Linked DNA regions of Caenorhabditis elegans. The protein of the gene in region 2 interacts with the protein of the main gene of each other region in a biochemical or structural test. Each region holds a gene or a part of one and is shown on either strand. Other genes may lie near its edges. The genes, in order: dmsr-8, flp-12, dmsr-1 and dmsr-7.

Evidence for each region.
Region 1: the proteins of flp-12 (region 2) and dmsr-8 interact in a test that uses a peptide from one of them, tested with the Caenorhabditis elegans proteins (one large-scale study listed by BioGRID).
Region 3: the proteins of flp-12 (region 2) and dmsr-1 interact in a test that uses a peptide from one of them, tested with the Caenorhabditis elegans proteins (one large-scale study listed by BioGRID).
Region 4: the proteins of flp-12 (region 2) and dmsr-7 interact in a test that uses a peptide from one of them, tested with the Caenorhabditis elegans proteins (one large-scale study listed by BioGRID).

Annotation. Positions count from the first base shown.
Region 1 is NC_003283.11:10,509,337-10,516,525, forward strand, and holds dmsr-8 (G-protein coupled receptors family 1 profile domain-containing protein), read right to left. Parts: upstream 5,036-7,189; 5' UTR 4,926-5,035; intron 4,673-4,925; coding exon 4,549-4,672; intron 3,882-4,548; coding exon 3,725-3,881; intron 3,343-3,724; coding exon 3,246-3,342; intron 3,199-3,245; coding exon 3,049-3,198; intron 2,882-3,048; coding exon 2,771-2,881; intron 2,728-2,770; coding exon 2,315-2,727; intron 2,263-2,314; coding exon 2,084-2,262; intron 1,628-2,083; coding exon 1,518-1,627; intron 1,471-1,517; coding exon 1,348-1,470; 3' UTR 1,116-1,347; downstream 1-1,115. Other genes in the region: C35A5.6 (uncharacterized protein), read left to right, coding at 1-80, 130-281, 739-912, 955-1,115.
Region 2 is NC_003284.9:4,590,361-4,595,189, forward strand, and holds flp-12 (FMRF-Like Peptide), read right to left. Parts: upstream 2,045-4,829; 5' UTR 1,968-2,044; coding exon 1,904-1,967; exon of another isoform or gene 1,320-1,903; coding exon 1,249-1,319; intron 1,192-1,248; coding exon 1,069-1,191; 3' UTR 921-1,068; downstream 1-920.
Region 3 is NC_003283.11:11,436,060-11,442,495, reverse strand, and holds dmsr-1 (G-protein coupled receptor dmsr-1), read right to left. Parts: upstream 3,727-6,436; 5' UTR 3,679-3,726; coding exon 3,608-3,678; intron 3,329-3,607; coding exon 3,012-3,328; intron 2,961-3,011; coding exon 2,701-2,960; intron 2,406-2,700; coding exon 1,938-2,405; intron 1,557-1,937; coding exon 1,371-1,556; intron 1,310-1,370; coding exon 1,079-1,309; 3' UTR 932-1,078; downstream 1-931. Other genes in the region: F57B7.2 (SCP domain-containing protein), read left to right, coding at 107-360. UniProt on the Caenorhabditis elegans protein: G-protein coupled receptor.
Region 4 is NC_003283.11:5,403,042-5,409,320, reverse strand, and holds dmsr-7 (G-protein coupled receptors family 1 profile domain-containing protein), read right to left. Parts: upstream 3,969-6,279; 5' UTR 3,952-3,968; coding exon 3,866-3,951; intron 3,799-3,865; coding exon 3,586-3,798; intron 2,731-3,585; coding exon 2,587-2,730; intron 2,391-2,586; coding exon 2,132-2,390; intron 2,084-2,131; coding exon 1,953-2,083; intron 1,905-1,952; coding exon 1,779-1,904; intron 1,568-1,778; coding exon 1,427-1,567; intron 1,363-1,426; coding exon 1,288-1,362; intron 1,238-1,287; coding exon 1,123-1,237; 3' UTR 935-1,122; downstream 1-934. Other genes in the region: C25A6.1 (Serine/threonine-protein phosphatase), read right to left, coding at 1-86, 470-793.

The DNA.
Region 1 (7,189 bases), on a different chromosome or scaffold from region 2:
TTTGTAAAATTTGTGCATAACATTTCCCATCTTCATATCAAACTAAACACAGTTGAACTCAATGAAACCAGATTACCAATGTTAGTTTTTTTAGATTTGAGAGAACAAATAATTTTTTTTCAATTTCAGAGTTCAAAAGTTTTTGAAAGAATTACCAAAAGCAATGTGTAATGTATCATATTCAATTCCGGCATTGTTTGAAGGAACTGCTGTAATGGCAAATACTACCCTTTATGGAAAAGTTAATCCAATGTCTAGCAGTGTTATTTCTTCTGTTCATCGTGAGTTTTTTGTTGTTGCAAAATTTTATTGATTGAATCTTTTTCTGTGATTTGGAAACAAACAATATCTCTTTTCCTGCAAGCACAAAAATGTTCAGAAAAAAATCAAATGATCATTGCGTCTGTTGAGCACATGAACATCGGGTCAATGCGTGTTGTTCATTTTAAAAAAATCCTGAGAAATCAAACATTTGAAAAAAGCCATAAATATACAAGCTATAAATAGTACTTTTTCAATTTCTCCAGTCTCCAGAATACACTTAGTTTTTGTTTTTATGAAAAACTAAATTATGAAAAAGTGTGATTTTAGTTGATCCATGAAACTTTTCGATTTTTTAAAGTTTTAAAGTTTTTATCATTTTCGGATTCACTATTTTTCATGATAAGTTTGAAGTCAATTTCAATTATCAGAACAGCTATCGAAATTAGCTAACCACTCTGTACATTTTTTTTTCAGAAAAAATATTCTCTCTACTTAATAACACTGAAATTCCGTCTGTTGATGTGCATGACATTTTCCATCCGCGAATGAATATTGTAGAACTTGACAATCGAAAACATGAGGACCTTCTACAAATTATGTCAAACCGGACAGGAGATTTCAAGTTGAATACGGGAGATTTTATTAAAGGTTTGGTTTGAATTCACGCTAAAACATTGAATCTTTATTCAGAAATAGTCTTGTTCAATTCAACAGAATCAGGGTCCTTTCATGAGGAAATTGGACGAGCCGTATTGGCACCTTGCTCGAATTTCACTCTTCTCAGATTCAAAAAACCCGAATTAATTTCGAATCGAGTTCCAATTTTTCCACTTGAAATGGACTTTAAATAAAGATTTATTGTAATAAATACAGAAAAAAAGGAGACAATCTATCGATATGTAGAGATAAAGTACCAGTAAATATGTAATAATATGACATTAACGGTGTGTTTATGAAACAATACAATGTGAATTCTGAGTTAAAGATCATGTCGCAAACCTAGTTTCAGAAAGTCTGAAACTATAACGTTATGTTTCCAGATCAGCAGAATTCAAGAACTTTTTTTTAAGTCATGGCAAAAATTTAATAAAGAGCAGTACTTGTTTCACATTGCATTAATTTAATTCTTCTGTGTGGACTATTGGAAAGCTCATCTGTAGAACGGAAAAATCTGAGAATTTTTTGAACAATGCTTAGGGAGTCTTGCTGAAAATGTGTTTGTTTAATTTTTTTTTTGAAACCTAATTAACTACCTGCATATTTGGTACCACAAGTTGGAAATCGACGACGCTACTGATCTGCGATTCTTTACGAACGATATCAAAGGAAACACGAGGAGATGTAGAGTATCCGCCGTTGATGTCTGAAATGAAAACATCAAAGTTTGCTTAGAAAAACAAACAAGCAAGTTTGAGAAGTCACAAGAAAGTTAGGAATGTATATGTGCAGAAAGAGAGTATCATGTCAGTTTCAAATTAGCTTGGGTCAAAGGTATAAAAGTTAGAGATGTATCAGAATCAGTTTGAGAGAAGTCAAGCAAGAAGGTTCACCTTTTCAACTAACTTAGGCAGAATCCTCTGAAATTTGATATTAAGATACTTGTTTTTTGAAGAATCCAAGATAGTTGTGTAGTTTTAAAATTATGTAGGTTTCTATTTTAAAAATTGGAAACAATTTCTGTTAAAACCAAATTTAAACTTCTTTGTTTCAAACAGGGGCGAACGTTTCTGTATTGCCGAAAATTGTCGATTGCCGCACACTCCTGGTTTTAATAATACGCAACTATCTTGGAATACTTATTGCAAAACAATATACTTACCAGCTGTAAGCAGATTTCCAGAATACATTCTGGGTGGATCAGGTCTAGAAATAGGTAAAAGAACGGAGGACGCTGAAACTCGGTGTGACGTTAATGCCAATTGTTCACTTTTTGTCATATCAGCAGTAGGTCTCATGCGAGATACTTCAACGTCCAGGAATGCTTCCATTGCGTATTTTCTGCAACTTATATTTCAAATTCATTATACGAACCCACAACTTTATCTCCAACCGTATAATTTTTTGTGGCAAGCATGTAAGGAATATCTGGATAAATACGGCTCGGAACTTCCGACTCATTGCACAATAAATGATGAAGTTAACGGCAGAATTGAGCAACGAGAGGACATCCATCACATCTCCGAGATGAATGTATATTTTATCGTAGAATGTTTCTTTTGTGAAAATTGCATTGAAGACGTGAAGTACTCCTTGTGGAAGTTCAGCAAATAAAAATATTGAAAGAACGGCGACAAGCATTGGTGTAGTATGATCTCGTGGCATTCTTTTCTTATTCATCACTTGAGCTAATTGTTTCCTTCGTTTTCCAACGTCACGAATAATACTGACAAGTGCAACTATAGAAAATGTTAGAAGAAGACAAGGAACAACTTTGAAAAGTACTCCATTTGTCCAGAATGCAATCTAAAGAACATAAAAAGTTAGCAGAAACAAGATATTTACTCACATTAAGTAGTCCGCAATGATCAGATGGAGCAACCAAATAAACGAGCATATCGTCTTCAGCTGTCTCGTTTGCTTTGCATTGAAGCCAAAGAGATGCTGGCGTTTCAATTATCTAAAATTTAAGTATTTCAGCTAATAGCTAATTTGATTTTAGCTATTAAATTGTTTTTTTTTTCAAGGTTATGTTCAAACCGAAACGGGATAATAACAATAATTAATTAATTTTTCAAGTTTTGGTCATTTCAATTCTTGATATTCTAGAATAAAAAGTGTGATTACCTCAAATGTCAGCATATTTGGAACATTTAACAAACAAACTACAATAAATGTTGTAACAGCAATAATACAAGTCATTTGATTAGTTACAGATTCTCCAGCTACAGATGTTGCTCGCCGGATAGAAAACACTCGAATTTGGGCTAGTAGAACCTGGTTTTGATAATATAAGTTTTTGAATTTTAATCGTGAAAACTTACTGTTAACCAAATACTTGTTGCATGGAAAATAACCGTGGCTTGGGAATGATAGTATAAAAAATATGCCCAATAAATGTTGTAGTCTGTTGGATCGCATCTGGAAATATTCAGGTATATATTTTTTCAAATTGAATTGAAAACATCAAAATCTATTTGGATGCTTTTTCATGATAACTCATTCTCAAAGTTCTTTCATTCCCATATCCAATGGACACTATTTGAGTCACAAATCACAATAAATCAGAAAAAAATTCAAAATTAAATGCAAAAAGAACACGATTCTACAAATTCAACCAATAAGTCTACAAAAGAGGATTCCTTTAATTAGGAATTAATGACAAAATATACCAATTGCATCGTGTTGAACTGCTGCGTTGATGTTAGTTTATACCTCTGATTATTTAGAAAACACAGAAAATGTTAGAGATCACAGAAAATCAGTCAACAGAAAGAAACTCGTGCATGCAAAACCGACAAACCTGTACCCCGCAAATAGTAGAAAATGAGTAACAAAAACCAGGACACTGGTCATAACAAGAATGTCGCAAAGAGCAATTGCACAAAGAAGTGAATTGACGGCTGATCTCATTGATGGACGAGTTAGAACAATCACTGTTACTATGTTCATTGCAGTACCTACAAAATTCACTTGTGGCATTAGTTGAACATTTTTGTTGTCGTAATAATTTTAAAGCAGTTTTTGGTAGATGTCAGTGCTGTGCTTCAACGCTCTCTTAATGCGCAAATTGTATTATTTTTTATTTTTTGGGAAATCACGAAATCACTTGAAAACAACGCGTACGCAGCAAATCAACTAAACCTGCCGATTTATAAACATTTCGGGGTTTTATTTTTTAATTATTTTTTTTCCACTGTAGATACTCAAAAAATGAAATAAATCTTCTCGCGAATTTTCCGTTTTGTTTTTTCGTATATTTGTTTTTTCCTAAATTTTTTAACTTTGCAAAAAATGTCAAGCAAACTGTCAAGCCATATACAAAACAACCAATGTAGTTTTAAATTCTTTAAAAAATCACCCATATATATATCATATTTTAGGATCAGACCTTATTTAATTATTTTTGTCAAGTGTTCATTATTTATTTCAGTCTTTTTGCACGTGCTCAATAAATCTCACACGCTCTGCGCACTTTCAAATCAGATTTTATTTCTTGCTTTTCACTCTTTCTGTTGCTTTTTCGTCATCAACAAACACCTTTTTCTGCTTCCCCCTGCATGTTATTTTCAGTAAATTACCATCTGAAAAAGGATCAACATGTGCGATCACTTCATAATAACCAACCTGCAAGACAGAGAATCACAGAGACGTACGGATGAATATGAGCATACGCTGTATTTATATTTGTCACTGCTGTCTCAAGCCACTCGGCACCCGTGAAATTCACCGAACCCATGTCACATCCCATCTAAAAATGGATTATGAGCTTATGAATTTAAAATGAAAGTACTCTAATATTCCAGAGATTTTTAGAGAAGGATCTATCAAACTAGTGTGAATTTACAATGAGGATGTCTACAAGTACTGCATTTTACAATATTTCAAAAAAATTAATTAAAACTGTTTTTGAACAAATATCAATGAATAAAAGTGCTGAAGATTTTCTTCCATCAAAAAATATATCATGAAAATTTTAGTACACTTCTATTTAAACAACTTACTTTTGTGAGAAGTGTCCTCCTAGTCCGGAGGTATATTAATAAAAAATATTGTAATTATTTTGTTCCACTTAGGTTTTGAGATATCATTTCACACTCCGTCTATTTTTTCCCTGAAAATTACAAAATAAAATGCAAAAAATATAAATAAAACTGCGCAAAAAAAGAATGGAACAAAAATTTAGGCTATTCAGATTGGGAATATATTCAGAAAACTTGAAAAGAATAAAATGACGATGTGAAAACGATGAGTAAGAGGAATAACAAAATGTGGGAGATTGATAAGTGGCTTGATTTCAAGAAACGGAAAAAAATATACTGCTCTCGATGATTGGGTTGATTTTGAAAAGAATTCCTTAAAAACGATTAGAAAAAACGGGATTTTCGTCATTCAATATAAATTATAAAAATGTATCACTTAAACTTTTTGAAACGGTCCAGAAATGGAAGTTGGTTTCCCCCATACTTCAAAAAGAGACACGAAACATTGTCTGATTTTTCTGAAGAAAAAACCATGAAGTTACCCGATGCTCTGAAAATTATTAAGTCTGCAAAATTCCGCTTTGGACTTATTTAACGGTTTTAGTTTCAAAAACACAGTTTTAGATTTTGATAAAAAAAAATGTTACTTGTAGAACAAATTACGGTAGAAAATGTCAAAACTCCTGGCAAATTCAAGGAATGGAGAGGAATAAACAGGGAATAAAATCAAACTACCTTACAGAGAAAATTGAAAAACTCGAAAACATTCATCTCAAAATCGACTTAAACTTTAATCTAGTTTTCGAAGAAGGCGAACGCTTTTCTCACGTAAAAATACCTTTTCTTATCGAATTCCCACGAAAAAATAAGAAATTCATTCGAAGAAAATGTGGACCGAAAAGGAAGGACACATGAAAGACTTTTACAGAGAGCGTGTCGATGAATAATTTTAGTCTGTTCAGTCAGTATTTTAAAAGAAATCTTCCAAGTAAAAATCAGAAAAGGATTTTGATTTTTAGTCTACAAAGAAATGTTATCGTTTCCTAAGATCTGATTGACGAGCAAGTGATTAAAACGAAATAGAAGATCGGAAAAAAGAGGAAAAGGAGAAAAGGGTGTCTGACATTGAGAGTTTCATTTAAACGAACATTTCGATGATGAAACTAAGTGAAAGTGAGCAGCCGTTTTTTGAAATTACTAGTGGAATGCCGAAAACTGGGAAAGATGAGCCATCTGAGTCCGTAATTTGAATTAAATCGGGCGAAAGTTTATGCGATGAGCCACGAACCACCAAAACAAATTGTCAATGTGTGAACAGAGTTGTCATTGGCAGATCTCTTTCTCTTTGTCTCCCTCATTATAATGTCAACTTAGAAACGAATATGGCCATAATAACAACTCTAATGATGGGGATAATTATAAAATGGGTACGAATTTGAGTAGAATCTAATAAGAAGGAGGCGGTGAAGAAAGAAGAACACATGCTTCTTCTGTCTTTTTTTCTCAATAAGATGATAGGTAAACACTGTTGATTGATTGTCGTTGTATTTGAAAGAGGATATCAATGTCCGGTGATTTGATGAACCAGACGGGTGGTGGAACAATGAAAAGATGGGGGTGGTGGGAAATGAATTGCCTGGGAACTTTGAGTTGTTGATTTCATTAAGTCTGGGAATGTGTTAGGTTGGATGTTCCTGTGATGCTTGATCAAAATATTATGTCAAAGAGAGCAAAGCAATGATCACAAAAAGATTACGTTTCATGTCACTTGTCACAGTTATGACAAGCTCAGAGTTCAAATAAGGTACGCAAGTATGTTTTTGTGACAATCGGCAATTTGAGGATTTTTAATTTCCATTTTGCATTGACGAAGTTAATTGTATTGCATGGCAATATATGAAATGAACTGTTGGTGTGTTTTTTTTTCCATATATGAGAAAGCATTTGCATTCATGAGACTACCTGAACACGGTTTTTTCAATTTTTGTAATTTATAAGAGGTTTATAATAACAGTAACAAATAATTTAAATTGAGGATACGATAACCATTTCATTTGCCCAACTTGCATTATACGAGTATTTGTTTAATTTTAGTTTACATATGAAATTGATGATAAAATGACCTGTACAATAATCCAAGAATCAAGAAAAAATTTGTTTCCGATGTTCATATTATTACTGCGTACACAAGAAAAAAAACGAGTATATTCGCCTTTGTGGCCAACAAAGGAATTATATCATAAAATGTGCAGATATGAAGAAAGAGAGGATAGGAGCACTTTGAA
Region 2 (4,829 bases):
GTTGTGAAGATCATTCGAAATTTCTGTTCGACCTTGCCAAATACTTTAACATTTTTGTTTTGATCTAATGAACTTTGCGGGCTCTTATTCAGAAATTCAAATTGAACAATGTTGGAAGAAAGAGTGAACAAGGAAAAACAATGGAACATCTTCACGGATTTTAATCAATGCTAAAAACCAGCAAACAATTTTTCTAAGTTCCATTTCGATCTCGTTCTCGTTTCTGATTATGCATCGCATGGGAACCTGAAAACAAAATAAAATGCTTTATTGCAGTTTACGAGAAATTTTTCAGAAGCAATTAGACATTCAAAACAAAGTGTAAAAATTGAAATTACAAATAGAAATTTAACTTTTTACATTTTTCGTAACTTTTTTGTGCTTCCAAGTAGAATTGAAATTGGGAAGGTTGAAAATCTAATACAGTTGATTAAACTTTTGTACTGTATATAAAAATTCAGATTTCAAAACTTTGGCTAATTTTTAAGCCAACTATTTGAACTGTCTAATTGCGTAGTTAAGTAGCGATGTGTGAAGTTCTCGGTGAGCACGGTATGTTGTTGTTGTTGGTTTTTAGAAAGAAATTTCAAACTACTAAAATATTCTAAAAATTATATTATCATTTAATTTTTTTAAAATCTGGTTATCAAATCAAAACGCAATTTTCGGTTGTATTTTAACGAGTTTAACGAGTAAAACTACAATCTTAAGATTGTTCAAAAGAATGACAAATTTCCTAACAACTTAAGTTAGACAGGATTCTTCCAGCTTTTATAAATATCAGCCTAAATTTGGCTTTATAAACTCAAATTGTATTATTTCATATTTCCAAGTCAAAATTTAACAGGCTTTATAAATTTCCAATTTTCTTCCAATTTTTTAAAAGGAAAATTGCAATAAACACGGGATAAACAAGGAAAAACAATTCAAGTTTTATTTTCATCGGCTGCTATCACAATTCATTACGAAATTGACATAGAGAGTGAGAACATTTGAGAGATTCAGAGATTCAGAAGGTTAAATAGATCCTTTTCAAGGTTGGAAACAATGCTCGGCTCAAATGATGCTCTACTTTCGTCCAAATCGAATGAACTCGAACTTGTTGCGTCGTTTTTCGGCCATCTTGAGCTGCTGGTTGCCCTCCTGAAGTGCTTCCAACTCTGATAGAGCATTCAGCAGCTGAGCACTAATCTGAAAACAATTGAGAAATGATCGAGTTGCTCTCGGTGCGGTAAGCAGTAACAGTACCTTGTTTACGCTTTCGTGGCTCAGTTCCCCATCGTACATGGCTGCCGGGAGTACTTCAGGCGATCCTTTGACTAAAAACAATACATTAAAGATAATATCAATGTGTCTAGTCGGGTTTTCTTGCTGGGCCCCATAAGACGAGTTCCTAAAATGCAATGGGCCAAGAATATTTTCTTCCGTTTCTGTTTCTCGATTTGCTACTTGTTATTCAGAATCTCACTTTTATCTAGTTTTTTTTTTGCTTTATTTTCAGAAAGATTTTTGTCCAGAAGAGTCCCTAATTTCCAGCTAGGCCACACTGCGCTTTGTGTTATTTGCACAACAGGAAGAGGAATTTTTCTTGGTGTAATTATGCATGTTGGATGAGAAATAGTTGGGACTAATGGGATTAATGAGTCGGTGACTCGACGCTAGGACATTCCAATTTTTTGCGCCTAATTTTTGAGACATATTTTGGAAGTGAATTGCATTACTAGATTGTGTATTGAGGATTTATGTACATGTTTGGTTTTGACAGGATTCACCCACTCGGAGACTCCTTGTCAAATTGTAATTCTTAGCACGACGACACCAATTCGTTTTAACAATACATGGAGAGCTATGTCTAGTGTTACATTTTGAAAGCTATTTCTGAAACAAGGAACTAGTGGCTTACCTTTCTGTGTAGCACATGTTGCAATAAGGCAGAACAAAAGGGCGATGATGACTTGAACATTCATGTTTACTGAAAGTTCAGCTTGTGTGGCGCAAATATTATGCCGATCTGAATCTGGCGAGCTTATGTGCCGACCAAGTGGGCGTGGCCTAATGATGGTCCTCCCCTTTTGGGAGGAGAAATTATGGTGGATGAAGTTGAGCTCTCAATGTCACCAAGACAGCAAAAAAATAGAAGGAGTGGAAAAGAAAAAATGAAATCATGTGTCTTTTCGGGAGAAGATTGATGGTAGACAATAGTTGGAAAATTGGGCAATCCGTCCTCTCACCACACAACTCGTCATCGCTTTCCGCCGGCAGTGCTTCTTCTCCTCCATACTGATTGTGAAGGATAGAGGAATCCCGGATGAAGGCGGCGAAAAAGTGATGCTGGTGTGACACGCACAAAAGGCGCAAATTGGAAGGCAAAAGGCGCGACCGTGGGGGTCCAGAAATATTGTGCACAATATAACAATGCAAGACACTTTTGAGATTCCGTACAAAACATTATTGAAAGAATGTCTAAATTGGAGTGCAATCTCCGGAAGCATGACAAATTTACAGAGTCGAAACGGAACTATTTTGAGAAGCCTATCCCTCTCTATATAGTGCAACCACCAATTGCATCTATTCACAGATTTTGAAATCGCTGTTGCTGTTTTATACAAGAAAACAGCAAAGTACACAAGAAAACCTACCCATAAATGTGTAAAATACTATTTCGATGACTTGTCAAATTAATTTGAAACAAAATTCTTATTCTATGTACACTCTTCCAAAATTAACTTATGTCCAGGACGCCCACTGTGTGTATTTCTTTGAATTCATAAGTCATAGAGATGAAGTACTCCCCAAAGCATCTTGATTAAAAACAAGATCGTTTCAATGGCACAATAAGAATCAAAGTTTAACTACTGGTTTTTGAAACTTTAAAGCCATCCAGAATTATCTCAGGCTTCTATTTTGATCTCTGCAATAATTATGTTTTCCAATTCCAGGAAGGCAATTCTAGAAGTATACCAAAATTTTTGAGTTTCAGTATTTTTCAATTTGAAACCAAATAGTAATATTATCAACAAACATACTAATATTATCAACTCCAAACTAGGTGTCATGTAACTCGATTATCTCATTATTTTTCTCCAAAATATTTTCATATGCTGATTCATCAAACATCATCACGTAAATAAAACACACATTTGCAACCATTTAGCATTAACCGTAATCCCCCTATCGTATATAAGGCTTAAAAGGGCCGCCAGGCTGGAAGACTGCATGATCAAAAGATTTTCTAAGGAGCCATCTGAAGATACCACCGGACTTTTGAGCAAGATATGCAAGCGTGGCGTTGTGAATTTTTAGCTTCAAAATATTAGAGCTGGTCTCACGGTGAGCATTAAAAGATTTTCCAAATAATACTGGTAACAGTTTCAAAAAGAATATATGCTCCTATTGTAAATTTACTTCAACTCGAAATTACTTTTTTTGTTCATAATCAATTTTAATGTCTTCACATTAATAAACGTCTGGCTTTTTACCAGTTTGAACACTTTTGAATTTATCAGATTTGGAAAAGCTTTAAAGTTCGAAAAAACTGCTCCAAAACTTTTCCTCGTTCAGGAAACTCGTATAAGTTTCCGTTCTGTTTTAAGACAAGTTCAAAACCAATGAACTTTTTTCAGAAGGGCTTGAAGAAAAAAGGAAGAGGAAGTGGAACCATTTACTCAAGTTTCAGTATGTGGATTGGTCAAATATCAAATGTTGGCTCAAGTGGGGTGACTTAAGTGTTTATTGGAACGATTTTATCAGTCGTACATTCCATTACACTGAAATCAATAGTATAAAATGGAAAAGTGAGCATTTGGGTGAATATTGTCTACAATCAAAAAAATTATACAGTGAAACAATCCCCTTCCAGAAAAAAACCAAAAATATTCCTTGTTTCTCTTCCCAGCTAGTTCAGAGCAATCATCGTAATGAAGTGAATTTGATTCTAATCTTCAAAAATTTTAGCACTCTGAAATGAGTAATCCGGTTTAATTGGCCTGATCCACACTCTCGGCATTGATAATTCCGACATTTAATCAAGAATGTCTTTGTCGCATGATACTTTTATTTTTGATGTAATTGTAATTGATAAACACATTTTGTTACTATGTCAATCTAATTCCCGTTTTTTAAAAATTTCCGTCAAAAATACTTTTGTTGTTAAAGACTTTCAGTGTTATCCATAATTTATGATTGCTCTGAAATCTTCCATACGTGCAAGCAAAACGAATTAGCGTTTTTCGTAGTGATTTTGAAAAGTTGTAACGTTTAACCGCTGAGTAGCACATGTCGAGTTGAGTTAACTTTTTTTGTAGAACTAACGTCATTTTGAAACATTGAAAATGAAATCAACTGTTTTTGAAGGATACTTTTGTATTTTGAATGTTTGAGTTACATAGTTTTTTTCAATACTATTTCCCATACCCATCACACATTTCACACTTCAGCGTAGAATCGTACTGCCCTTTTGTACAGAAGAAAAAGTACGAGGGTGGTTTTCGATTTTGTTGAAAAACGTCATTGAAACGAGCCATTGGGGAGTGATGCTTTAGAAAAAAAGTATCATTACGAATGTAGTTCCGACTCGTTATGGCTTTTTACACGTTTCGATGTGCAATTCAAATGCGGATTCAAATGGAAAACATCAGAGATTTTAAGGGAGTTTCAACTAAAAAACAAGCGCGATGGGTGGCTTCGATGCGTTTGACATCACGATCAAACTTTTGGGGTGTAGTGTATGGGTTGGGTGGGTTACAATTTGAAGCTCGAAAAAAACAGATAATTTGAAGACAATATTTTCAGATTCTTATAGATGCACTACAAACAGATAGGGAGAGTCC
Region 3 (6,436 bases), on a different chromosome or scaffold from region 2:
ACTTCCCATTCAAAACATAATCAACTAAAAAATAATATTTAGACAAGAACTAAAATCTTAGCTTACTCTTGGTCCGAGTCAATTTCATAAGTGTCTCTAATTTCAGAATGTCAACGATTTTCACAAGTTGTTTGGAAAGATACAACAGAACTTGGCGCTGCACGGTATTGGAACACAGCAAATAATTGTGTAGCTGTTGTCTGCTTTTATCGTCCAGCGGGAAATTCAAATGCACCCGGAGAATTTGCTTCAAATGTTCCATCCAGAGATTGTTCAATGTCACCAATTCGAAACTTGGGAACTCAACTAAAACGCCACGTCACGATCTCAACACCAGAAAGAGCTGTTGTTTCCAAGTAGCTACTAGTTTATTTTTTTCAATTTGTGTAGCCAGAAACCGAAAAAGAACATTCCGAAACGGGTTGTGCGTTTTCTTCTACTTTTCTCCCCCACTTGATGCTTTCATTATAGTCAGCTTTTCTGTTTTTTTCTCTTTCATTTCGGCACCCGGTAACTTTGTCGGTTAATTGATCTCTAGCTATTACTTTCCATTGACAAATAAAAGATTGCTATGCCGAAACATTTTTACAAGTTGGAAGATTATCCTTTTTAAGTAAGTGTTTTAATTACACGGTGACATACGACTGTCATGTTTGCCATCAATATTTTTGTGATGGCATGATAAAAAATTCATTTAAACCAGAAAAATGCTTATGAAAATCAATCTATGTCTACCTACTATGGGAGCTAGTTTGAAGTTCTCCGAGGATACAATATTCCCAATTCTGCAATTTTCATTCATAAAAGGTTGTCATATACATAAATCAATAACCTCAATATGCAAATTGAAAGAATTTTAATTTCTGAACAATTACTTTATTTTTTTTTTCAATTCTGAAAAGTTTAAAGATTTAAAAAAAAAGTATGTTACTAATAAAAAACAAGATTCATTAATAGGACACGCTTAAGAAGAAATCAACGTAATCAGAAAATTGAAATAGAAACCCGTGAATATGGTAAATACTAATGGTTTTGTTCTGACACGTGTTGCAATTTGTGTGTTTAAAAAATTCTGATATCAAATGTTTTGAAAGTGTCCACGAATTCCATCAGCACTGGCTGTTGAGTTGGGTCCTGAGCTGTTAAGTAGATGTGATGTCTCATCAGTGGATTCATCTTCTCCACTTCGAATCGGTGGAAGTGGGGATGATGGAAATGATGTTGGCATTGGAGAACATGGAGTAATTGAATCACATCCAGTCATTCTCGTTATTTCCGTACTGTTTCTTCGTACCTGGATTCCGACCATCTGAAAATTAACATGGCTTATTCAAAAGTTTTGTAGAAAAAACATGTGTTGATATTCTTACTTTAACACTTGCTGACCTTGTATCTTCCGAATAAGTGCCATTTCCATTCATTCCATTTCCGTTTTTCTCGTTTGGTTTTAGAAAAGTCATTTTTGTGGTACTGTAGGCGTCGGATGGACGACGAATCGACGGCGATGACATTCGGAGACATCTCACCTTTGCAGGTACAAAGACACGGTGGAATTCCTAAAAATTTTATGATTTTTCTATATTGAAAATGAACCAATTTTTATTTATAGAAATCAAATGAAAATGCTTGTTCCCTGTGTTAAAATGAACTAAACACACATTCATAAAATGAGCAAAGTATGTACTTCCATGATTTTTCTTGTAAAAACAACTCCGCAATTGTCGGAAAATGTAGAGATCTTAAGCGCATTTTAAGACGCTGCCGAACATCATGTTAGTAAGAAAACAAAGAAAAAAAAGACAAATTCGCTTGGAAAGTTCCACCGAATGTTGAGAAAGTTTGTAGTATTTTCTAACAGCATACAACACATTTTTCATTGAGGTATTTTGAAAAGATGTCGCTCATTGAAATTTTTTTCAAGTAATATCAAAACTTACATTTCTGAACTGTCCACTCATTGAGCAGTAAATGATGAATGAACAACATGAACCGCAAAGTGAGAACAAATCGAGAATGTCTCCCAGATTGTTATAAATGTAAATTCGGAATTCTTCAGAACACATTCCAGACAAGACAGCCATAATTCCTTGAGGTAATTCAGTCACTAGCATAACTGCTACAATTGCCAATAACATATGAGTTGTCCGATCGACACGTTCTCCTCTCCCCCGTAAGCTTCCATTTCTGCCTAATTTCTCGTTGCCTGCAACTGAAATGCTCAGTCTTTGTCCGTTTCGAGTAGTCGTTTGATTCGGTGGTCGATGTTGCGAGTTCTTGAGAAGACGTTGACGATTCTCACGCACTTCACGAAGAATTCGTAAAAGGAGCCAAACAAACAACGATAGAAGCGCACATGGTAATACTTTGAATACCATACCGGATATCCAATAAGATAACCGGAAGACCTGCAGGAAATTAGGAAATTGGTTTTTGCTAGGGTGACGATCACGATGATAAATATTATTTTGTATAATTTTCATGATATCATATGTACATATGATCGATCAATTATTTCCAAAAAGGTTTATATAAATCCAAAGCTTCAAAGTTATATTATGATGATCTTGCCAAAATTTTTAGTTTATAAATCTAAGTTCCAATAAAAAAGTTTTTCGAGAAATTTTGTTTGTATACAATTTGTCAAACATTATTTTTTAACAAAAATCTTGTTTTTTTTTTACTGAAATTCAAAAATCTTACCAGACAGCTGTTTGCTTTTGCAATGTCTGCAATTCCAGGAAGATACGCGGGCGAATTCCAGAACATTGGATCCAAATCGGTACACGTTTCATTCAATGGCTGTTCATTGATTTTGTAATTCAGAAAATTCGGTGCATTAAGCACTGCTACAAGGGATACAGTAACAGCAACGGCATAATAAGAATGCCTTAACGTCACTTGCATACCACCCATATTTCCCCTACTTCGAAGTGTTACATATCGAACAAGTGCAAGCATAACTGCAATAAAATCGAAGAGTTGGACAGTTGTCTTCAGAATGAAAAGCTTACCTGACAACCAAACACTTGAAGAATGTGCAACTAATGAAAGATGAGCATGAGCAATTAAAAATAACGCCCAAGAGTAGGACCAATGTTTCGGATGACAAAACTTGAAAGCGACAAATGAGTAATGTGTTGTGTATATTAAATTTGAAAATAACACAACTGTATCACAAGATGCCATTGCTGTCAAAATCATATTAACTGGCGTTCGCATTGTTCGTCTCGTTAGTACGACGATGTTACAGAAATTAGCGATTGTACCCAACACGCATAGAAATATTGATAAGTAGGCATGTATAGGATGGTAGAAATTATATACACTTCTGAAAAAAAAACGTTTAATTTCACTTTTTTCCACTTTTGCTCTTGAAATATTTATTAATGGCTCTCTTTTTTATGGTCATCACTTTTGAGGACACAATAATTTAAGATAAGATAACCTTCTTCAATAACTTGGTTTTATTCGCTATTTTTAGGGATGATTTCTACAAATAATAGGATAACTTTTAATGATGATAAACTGTACTTTTTGAAAATACGTCAAATACAACAGTACTGGGCAATTATTTGAAAGATTTTTGAGACACAAAAGTAAAACTTACACAAAAACATCGTATAAAAAACTTTTATCGGGCAGATGAATAAATGTAGTTTTGCATTCGGTAAACTCCATTTTGTTTGCTGTTCCTCTGTTCTATTGTTTCTGATTCTATTTGAACATCTGAAAAAAAACAACAATTTATTAATATTGAAACGTTGAAAATGAGGAAAACAAGCGTTCAAATGAAAAACGGCTCCGATTCGGAAAACCGGAAAACGTCATTAGAAATGAGAGATGACTATGAAAAAAATGACAAAAGGGACAAAGATTTGGCAACACATTGCTCATTCACTTTTTAAAACAAAAACACTCAAATAATAGGGTGAGTGTGTTTTTTTGGAACAAAAAAACTAACAAAAATATACTGCAAGCTTTTGCTCAAAAATCTAAGATAAACACCAATTATTGCCAATTAGGGAGATCTTGCAGATAAAACTTCCTTAAAGAAATCATTATTCAGAAATTGAAGGAGTTGCAAAATCAGAAAATATAAAAATAAAAATAGCACAGGAAGTTTAATGATTTTTTTACTGGGAAAATTAAGAGTACAATTGAAAAAAGAGAGCCAAAAAGTTTTGAATGAACTTCAGAAGGAATAATTTGCATAAACTGAACAAGATTAATACATTCAAAAGTACACAAATTTTCGGAAAAATTGATATGCACTATACCAAATTCATATTCACATTCGTTTTTTGATTAATTTTTTTGCCGCTACACAATTTCGGCAATTGAGCATGTATTCGATTACAAAGAAAATGTCACAAATTCCAGGCACTTGGAAAAATAAATTGATAATTATTTCTTTTTCTATCACTTGGAAGAAGAGTTGTTTTTAAATGCCCGCTATTTCAGAGAGACATCACGTCATTAAAAACCATAAACGTTACGCATTTTGAAAAATAGAAAATTCAAAAACCTAAATGGATATCTCAACAGCTTTTTGTCACTATTTCACTGTCTCTTCACTTCAAAACACACACATATATATATATATATATATATATATATATATATATATATATGTGCAATATCCGTATCTACTTCCAACCGCTATTCGATCACTAAAAGAAACTCAAAACAAGCCTCGCTTCCTAGTCCTTCCGTTCGCCGCCATGATGGGCCCAGTATCTAAGCATGGGCGGAATTTGTTGCTTTTTTACTCAAAAAAAAGAACCTTTTTTATGTTGAGCACGGACAGATAAACGCAGAGCGGGGTGCAACGCATCTCTCCCCGACAAAAAATAACATCAGAATATAACCAAATTTCGGTCAGCGCTCGGAAGTGTGTGAGGCGGCCTAGCGCGCTCCAACTCTAATTACAGAGCGGATAAGGTTTGGATAGATATTTCCAAAGTTAGTCATGTGTTGATCCGTGACCACATGTCAGGTGAGCACCCATTTCCGGAGTCACTTCAGGAAAAAAACTCATTGAGCTGACTCTCGTGCCAGAGGAATTTTTCGCACTTATCATTAAAGAAAACGACAAAAGTTTATGCTGAAAATGAAAATATTTGCCGGAATTCGGTTTGAAGTTACGATAAAAAAGTAAAAGGTACAAGATCAAACTCCACTGGCAAACATATCCCAAGTATTGAAAATTTTAAGCATAATTACTTTTGAGTTAGGGGAAGGAAAATGATGGAAGTCCGGTTAGGTCGGATTTTCCTATATTGCTTGTTAAATCATTTTTGTGTATTAAATTGTATTGAAAAATAGCTGAAAAATAAGGATTATTATAACTTCTCTTATTTTACTTTTTAAAATTATTTTTTGTGACGTCGAACTTTAAAATGCAACGCCAAAAGTTTCCACAATGCAATCAAATCCTTTATACTTAAAACATCAAAATCCAACAACATGTAAACATATTTACAGAACAGAAAATTCTAAAAATATTACAAACTTGTAAACAAGTTGATAGTTGAGAAGACCTATCAAGAAGTATGATACGAGTGAGAGTACAAAAAGTACCCACAAGAAGTATCAAACTCGGAGAAAAAGATGGAAGGTACGGGGCCAAATAAAAAAACCGACGGATGTTGAGACCGAGAAAAATGCAAATTCTGAAGCTAACCGAATTTGTGACAGTGGATGGGCTCTTTGCCTAACTTAAACGAAACTTCATGTGACCTTACGAATGACGCAACTATTTCTGCACATAAAAAGGTGACAGAAGAAGAAGCCGTAGGATAAACTGACCAAACTTAGAGAGATGAGGACAATGAAATTCTTTTCTTTTTGCATTCCATATTTTCCCCGTCTTCTCATTTTCATATTTCTTTATAAATTCAGTCGCCCGTCCAATTGAATTCATTCAATTCGAGGAGGAGGAGGATGAGAGGAAGAAGAAATGGAATGCAGTGTTATTGCTACCTCGCTAGCCGCCGGATGCTCAGCTCCTCTACTCCCAAGATTGGGGGAATGGATCTTGAAATTCCATTGCCGTTTGTATAGCCGTAGGTTTTGAATATTAAAAATATTATATTATGAAAGGATCGGGGGTGGAGCAGAGATAGAAACAGCTTTGCTGCTTTTTCTTCTTCTTTCATTTGCAAAAGCCTGTTTCTGCTTTTCATTCACTTCGTAAAAAAGTTTAGCAACGCTGAGGGAGGGCTTTGGATTTGAATTTGTGAATTTGTCAACCCAAGCGGAAATTGGAATGAACTTTTCGGTTCTTCAAAAAAAAAACTAAAGAAAGTGAAAAGTTTGGATAGAATAAGGCGGAGCAAAACGTCGAAGAAGACGAGCCTGAAAGTAGCAAAATTGGCCAAATTTGACTCGAGTTGAAAGCTCCTGCTTCTGTTTCTTGGCGCAAGAGCTTCTCCCC
Region 4 (6,279 bases), on a different chromosome or scaffold from region 2:
CACTCTTCATAGAATCCATATACCTTGTTGACAAACTCGCACTCATGGTTTCCACGCAACAAGAATAAATTGCCCGGGAATTTCACCTGGAATCATGACTTGAAAAATGTTTCAAAGAAGTTCACGCCATGGGATTTGGAAGATCGGGAGAGAGAAATAAACGTCCAAAAGATCCATCACTCCAGTTGACGTCATTTTTCAAATTTGACAGCTCATCGGAGCAGCATCAACTTTCTGTCACTTTGATACTTGAGAGATGCGCACTTTTTTGCAGAGCAATATGTGATGGACAATAAATATGTTTCTTTTTGAAAACACATTTATTTATCACATGTGTACGCTTATTTTGGAAAATCTAAGCGGTCTCTGCAAAAATCCCCTGTTTTGGCATTCTTTGTGTCAATGATTAATTCTGGCGCGTCACAATTTTTGATCCTAGCTTCTTTTTGCAAAACTTAAAGCAACAAACCTTATAAGCGAGAAGAAGAACAATGGTTTCAATGCTAAATCTTCCACGGTCCACATAGTCACCAAGGAATAAATAATTCGCAGTCGGCGGCCATCCACCACGATGGAAGAGACGAAGAAGATCCGGGAATTGTCCATGGATGTCACCGCACACCTTTATCGGAGCATTCATTTCAACCATTGATTTCTGTCTTTTAAATACATCCAGTGCCAAATCGAGAAGCTTTAGAACTCGTCCTTCCGTGATCACTTCGGAAAGTAGCTTTTCGTGAGTACTAGCGCTCAGGACATCAATTATTATGTTGTCAACGACGTCGTCTTTCATAATCTAAAACATCAAACCTTTTTAACTTTTGATTCCTGGAAGAGAAAAAGAGAACTCACCTTTCGGAAATCACTTTCAATTGAAAATAATTTTTTTTCCTAGTTTTACTCACATCTACGTGTCTTTTTGTAAACAATTTTTTTTTCACGGCGCCGTGAATAATTTAATAATTTTGTAAACCATATTGATTTATATAAAAACTGAATTAATAAAAAACAAAAAGTACCCGTAACAAGAATAGAATAGAAAATGCGAAAGCTATGAAAATGAGCAAGATATCACAAAAAATCTGCAAAGGGAATTTGTACCGAGATCGAAAAAATTGGAATTTAAAGTTGATGTTCTCTACTGCTGTTCTGATTGTCCGACACGGAAGCTTCATACCGCCAATACTCATTGCGTGCTGGTTCCGGTTCAGTTGCCAGTGGCGTATAGCTTTGTTTTCTGCAAATTAAAGATAATATTTTCCAGACTTCAAAAACAAATTAACTGACCTTCCTAGTCGTAAGCTGTTGTTCAACTGAAGCTGTGAAAGTTCCGTCGGAGAACCACGACGGGTCGTCCACAATCTGAGAGGAAAAATTTTATTTTAGACTACTGTAACAGGAACTGGTTCAATAAGAATGAACTTACCCACAAGCCCACGAAGGAATGATAACTTCCCAAAACGTCTGCCGGTATCTTGAAGACATCACACAATATAAAACAAAATTTACAGAGGAATTGACAAGCGATAGGAGATCAAGAACATCACCAATGTAGAAATAGAGGTATCTGAAATGGAAAATTTAATTTTTCGAAAACTTCTTTAGCGCCCAATTTTAGCTTTAATTGGGCCAACAAAAATTTAGCAACACTTTTGCAAGACTCAGCCTGCACCCAAATTTCCAAAAATTCAAATGACTCAAGAAAAATTGGGTCAAGCTTGGGGCAGTTCGATTTCAGTTTTTCCAGGCCAAATTTCTAGTTAAACATCAAATCTTACCTATGAACGTCTGTAGTAAAAATTGCGCAAAGAATCGAGATGATTCCTTGTGGAAACTCCGTTATTAAAAATACCAATAAAATAACAACAAGCATCAATGTGGTTCTATCTGATGTTCCATTCTTTCTGAAAATTTCCATTTTGTCATAAAAGTTCTTTGAGAGTTGACTATACTTTTTCAATGGTTTTGAATCTGTTGATGCATTTGACGGAACACTCGTTAGTTTCCTCCGATGCTTTTCTGCGTCTCTAATCTTTGATACAAGGCCGAAAGACAAGAAAATTAGCAGAATACATGGAATGATCTGAAAACTGGTAGGACGTTTAATTTGATAACTCGCGTACTCGCTAACCTTGAACAGAATTCCAATCATCCAAATATTCCATTTAAACAACCGGCAATTGTTGATAGTCGCCGCGTGGCTGACCATAAAAGTGTACACCGGTTCAGAGTAGTTCGATGCAAATTTTTGACACGTTTTGCCAGGTCGCCAGTCATTTCCTTCTACACGGGCGATTTCGTGGACCAGCATATTTGGAATACAAAGTACAAATACGACCATATAGATTCCCAGGCACAACTTCCATGCGAACTTTGGTCGTTGCCATTGACTGAAAATTTCCAGATTTTTTAAGGGGGCCAACGTTTCTGGGTATATTGCTTGCAATGTCTTTGTAAAATTTCAATTTTAAATATTTTTGGATACCTACCATTGTTTGAAAAAAATTTTGAAAACTTTCATTACAAAACTTGTTCATCTTAGTGTATAAAAAAATGTTAGTCCCTTAAACTTTGCTCCCAGCATACCTATTCAAAGCGGTAACCCTTAATGTCATCCTCCGAATGAACGCCATCGCCACAGCGAGCCATAAAGAAGTTGTGTGTAGTGTGATGCTCAAAACAACATGCCACAATAGGAATTGTAACCAAGAATGAGTGAACGTTGGAGTGCTGTAATAAAATCTAATAATAAAAATTATTGAGTTTCATTGCAAACGCTTGTTTTCGTGTTTTTCAGTATCATTTTACGAGCGACTTTTCATCTTGAATTCACTTTTGTTATTTATGAATACACGTAGTTTGTAGCTTTGTGACGATTTTCAAAATTTCCTATGATCAATAAAATATGCAGTTGTTTTCATGTTTTGATGCACATAAAACGGATAGGAGGAAATAAATAGTTCCAGGTTCAACTAAAATTCTATGCCTCTTCAATTAAGTGCAGCAAGTGACGAACATGGGCATTCAACTTTTGAAATTCCATTATTACTTTGAGGATGTTTTTTTGTGTGTGTGTGTTGATACTTGAGTGGAAAAATAGAAGAATATAAATATCCTTCAAAATTTTCAATAGAAAGAGCACACTTAGTTTGAATTCTTGTTATTAATGGTTTGAGGTAGAGTTTGGAAAATAAGGATTTTGTTTCAAAGTATTCGAAATATTCAAATATATGCTGCATAATCAAAAAAAAAGGAAACTTAAAAAATCGAGAAAGATTTAAAAATGTCCAATTTTTGAAATTGCGAATTTTCATATTTGAATTTTTCCAAAATGAGAAGCCATGACTATTTTTAAACCAATCAGCGCCTTCGAACTCTACATCCTTTTTATGAAGTGACCGACATTTTCCGGGTTTTGCAATTCACCATAAAATTGGAATAGGAAAAACCAGAAAATAAATATTTTAAAGCTTGTGTTATTTTTCCAAAAATTCCATATTTGTTGATGTTCCTACTCAAAAGCCGCCACGCCGCTCCATTTCCCAAAACAAAAACATTTCCACCCAATAAACACACAAGAATTACCAGGAATTATTTCGTCGTAAGACAAAATGTATAATATAAATGAGATAGGATGCCATTGTTCCGATATCACAGACAGCCACTGCTGTCAGTATGCAGTTGACGGCCGAATTGCGCATGTTGGGTCTCGATAAAACTGCCACATGCACAAAATTGGTGAAGATACCAAAAACGCAGATGAGCACACATACATATCCGTGAATTGGCTGGTACCATCTGACAATTAATCATTGGTTCATTTTTCTTTTTTTGAAAGAAGTGCACAAAAAATAGTTTAACAAACCTTTGAAAATGTGCAAGTTTCCGAAGAAATGCCTGCGTACTGTTACTGTTCGGATCAAACAACTGAGCATCGTGCGGACATTCCATATCTAGCACATCCTTCAAAATGTTGAAAATTTAAGGGGTTTTTAAAGACCATTGAAACAAAGAAACATAAGGAGAAAATCAGAAGAAGCCAAGAGCAACAGGGTGGAATGCGTTCTGTGTTTTTTGAACTTTTAGATGACAGTCGGTTGTTGTGGAAGAAGCTGATCGAGTTTTCGAACAAAATATATAATTTCGTTTTTCAAAAAATTTACAAAATTATAGGTCACTGGCCGGAAGTTATTTTTGTTCCGTGAGTTGTTATTTCTATAGCAGGAAAATACTTTGAAAAATTGTAAAAATCTTTGATTGAAGATTTTTATTTTTTAAAAACTATTTCCTAGAGTAAAAAAAACCAAAAAACCTATTTTTTTGCCGGCCAGGGCGGTAGATTTGTTTGTTTTCGAAAACAAAGTGAGCGAAAAATTGCAAAAAACGCGTAAATTCTTTTGTAAATTTTGCATGTTTAAAAAAAAATGACACTCGAAACCGTAAAAGAGAGCCATATTTATCAAAATATTTATTATTTGGGTTTAAAACATTTTAAAATAATTTTTTTCGATTTCAGCAGATCTTGAAAATGCACAAAATAATTGGTAGGCATGTAGGCATGCCTGCCAACTTATCTTGGCAAGACTAGTCTTTTAAAACATAGTAAGCATATTTTTCAGCAGTTTTATAATTGCGATGATTATAATTGTGAAGCACACTCGTTCGTGAATGTTTAATCTTTCGCTCAACTTTCTGTTTCTTGTGAACATGTAACCTAGATCTAGGGCTTCTAGGTAGGCGCCAAACGACTGCCTACCTGCCGGACTTCAAAGTTAGGTCCACCTGCTTTTCATCAAATTAATCGAAATTCAAATTTATTGCTTTCAAATTTTATGCGCCTGCCTACCATGTTAGTCCTACCTAGAACAGAAACTTATTAGTTAAGTATAAAAGTTTTAAACTTTGGTATTTCATGCCACCATAAAACATATAAAATCAGGGGGCCATCTTGTGAAAATGTTTGTTGTGTGGTGCTGCTTCACACACACCGAAACATTTGAAACAGAATGGATTTCGAGACAGAAATGTGGCATTCAAAGTTAATGAATTCATCTTCCAGAGAAGATGAATCGGAAAATCGAATATTCTCACGACTTATGAATAAGGAAAACGTGGAAAAAAAAAGTTTAGGGGCGCAGGCGCAGTCAAAAGGGGAAGAAAGAAAGCTCAAGTCCCTTGGGAATTGAAGTGATGTGCCTATTGACTATTGACCACTGAACATTTCATCTTTGTTTCAAGAAATCAAAAGAGTGACCTAGCTAATTCTCTAACACCTTAAAATGCAGAGAGCCTAATTGGGGGAGAAATGAGAAAAATGCAGGAAAAAAGCTGAAAAGGGGCAAAAACTGGAGGAAGGAGAGGCGCTACCAATGGTGGATTGCGCACGTAACGTGTTCATTGTCTTTTTTACTCGAAACAAAATGGCGAAGCTTCTCCTCAAATTCAATTTGCAGTTCAAGCAGCTTCTAGTGCTTGAAAAGCAGTGACGAGACTGCATTATTTTCAAAGTGACGAGCAAAAAGGAGGAAAAAAAAAGAAGGACTAGAAGGAGGGGTAGGAATAGTGAGAGGAGAGAATTGGGATGCACAAATCACAACAAAACTTTGGGCAATGAAGAGGAGCCTTTCTTGGTTCCTTCTGGCTCCTCCACAAGTTTCCTAATGCTCAATTCTAGACTAATCTTTCAGATGGCTGTGCAGACTCCCGGATAGAATGATTCAGGCGGCTGCTTGGAATGCCTCCGTTTTTTTTCAGTTTGAGCACATTATTTAGTTACAGTGGCTCTGACTTTTGCTATCATACAAAGATACAAACAGGCCTAGAACGAAACAAAAAACAATTGGGGTGAAGAAAAAGAAAGATTATTGAATAAAGTTCCAGATGTGTTTTTCACAGATTGCTTGTTTTTCAAACTTTTAGATTTAGCTTGGATTTTTCGGGAAATTGAAAGAAATTGAAATTGCAAAAATTTCAAAAAATTTCAAAAGCACACTCATGCTATAAAGATCAAGAGAAAGTTTCTCCGAAAAATTTTACATTAAAAAGGTAAAATGCCTGCCTTCAAGGCGACCTATGCCTACCCTGAACCCAATGAAACACCGCTTTTACAGTGAAATGCCAAGAAACTTATATTGGGCAGGCAGGTAAGCAAATTGGACAAGCCCTGCCAATAATTTCTCTAGTGTTCAAAAACATTTGTTCAAATGTGTCACTAGAATTCTTCATATTCCGAAATCGCCGAAACTGACGATTGCTGGAATTTCAGGAGTGTTCAAACTT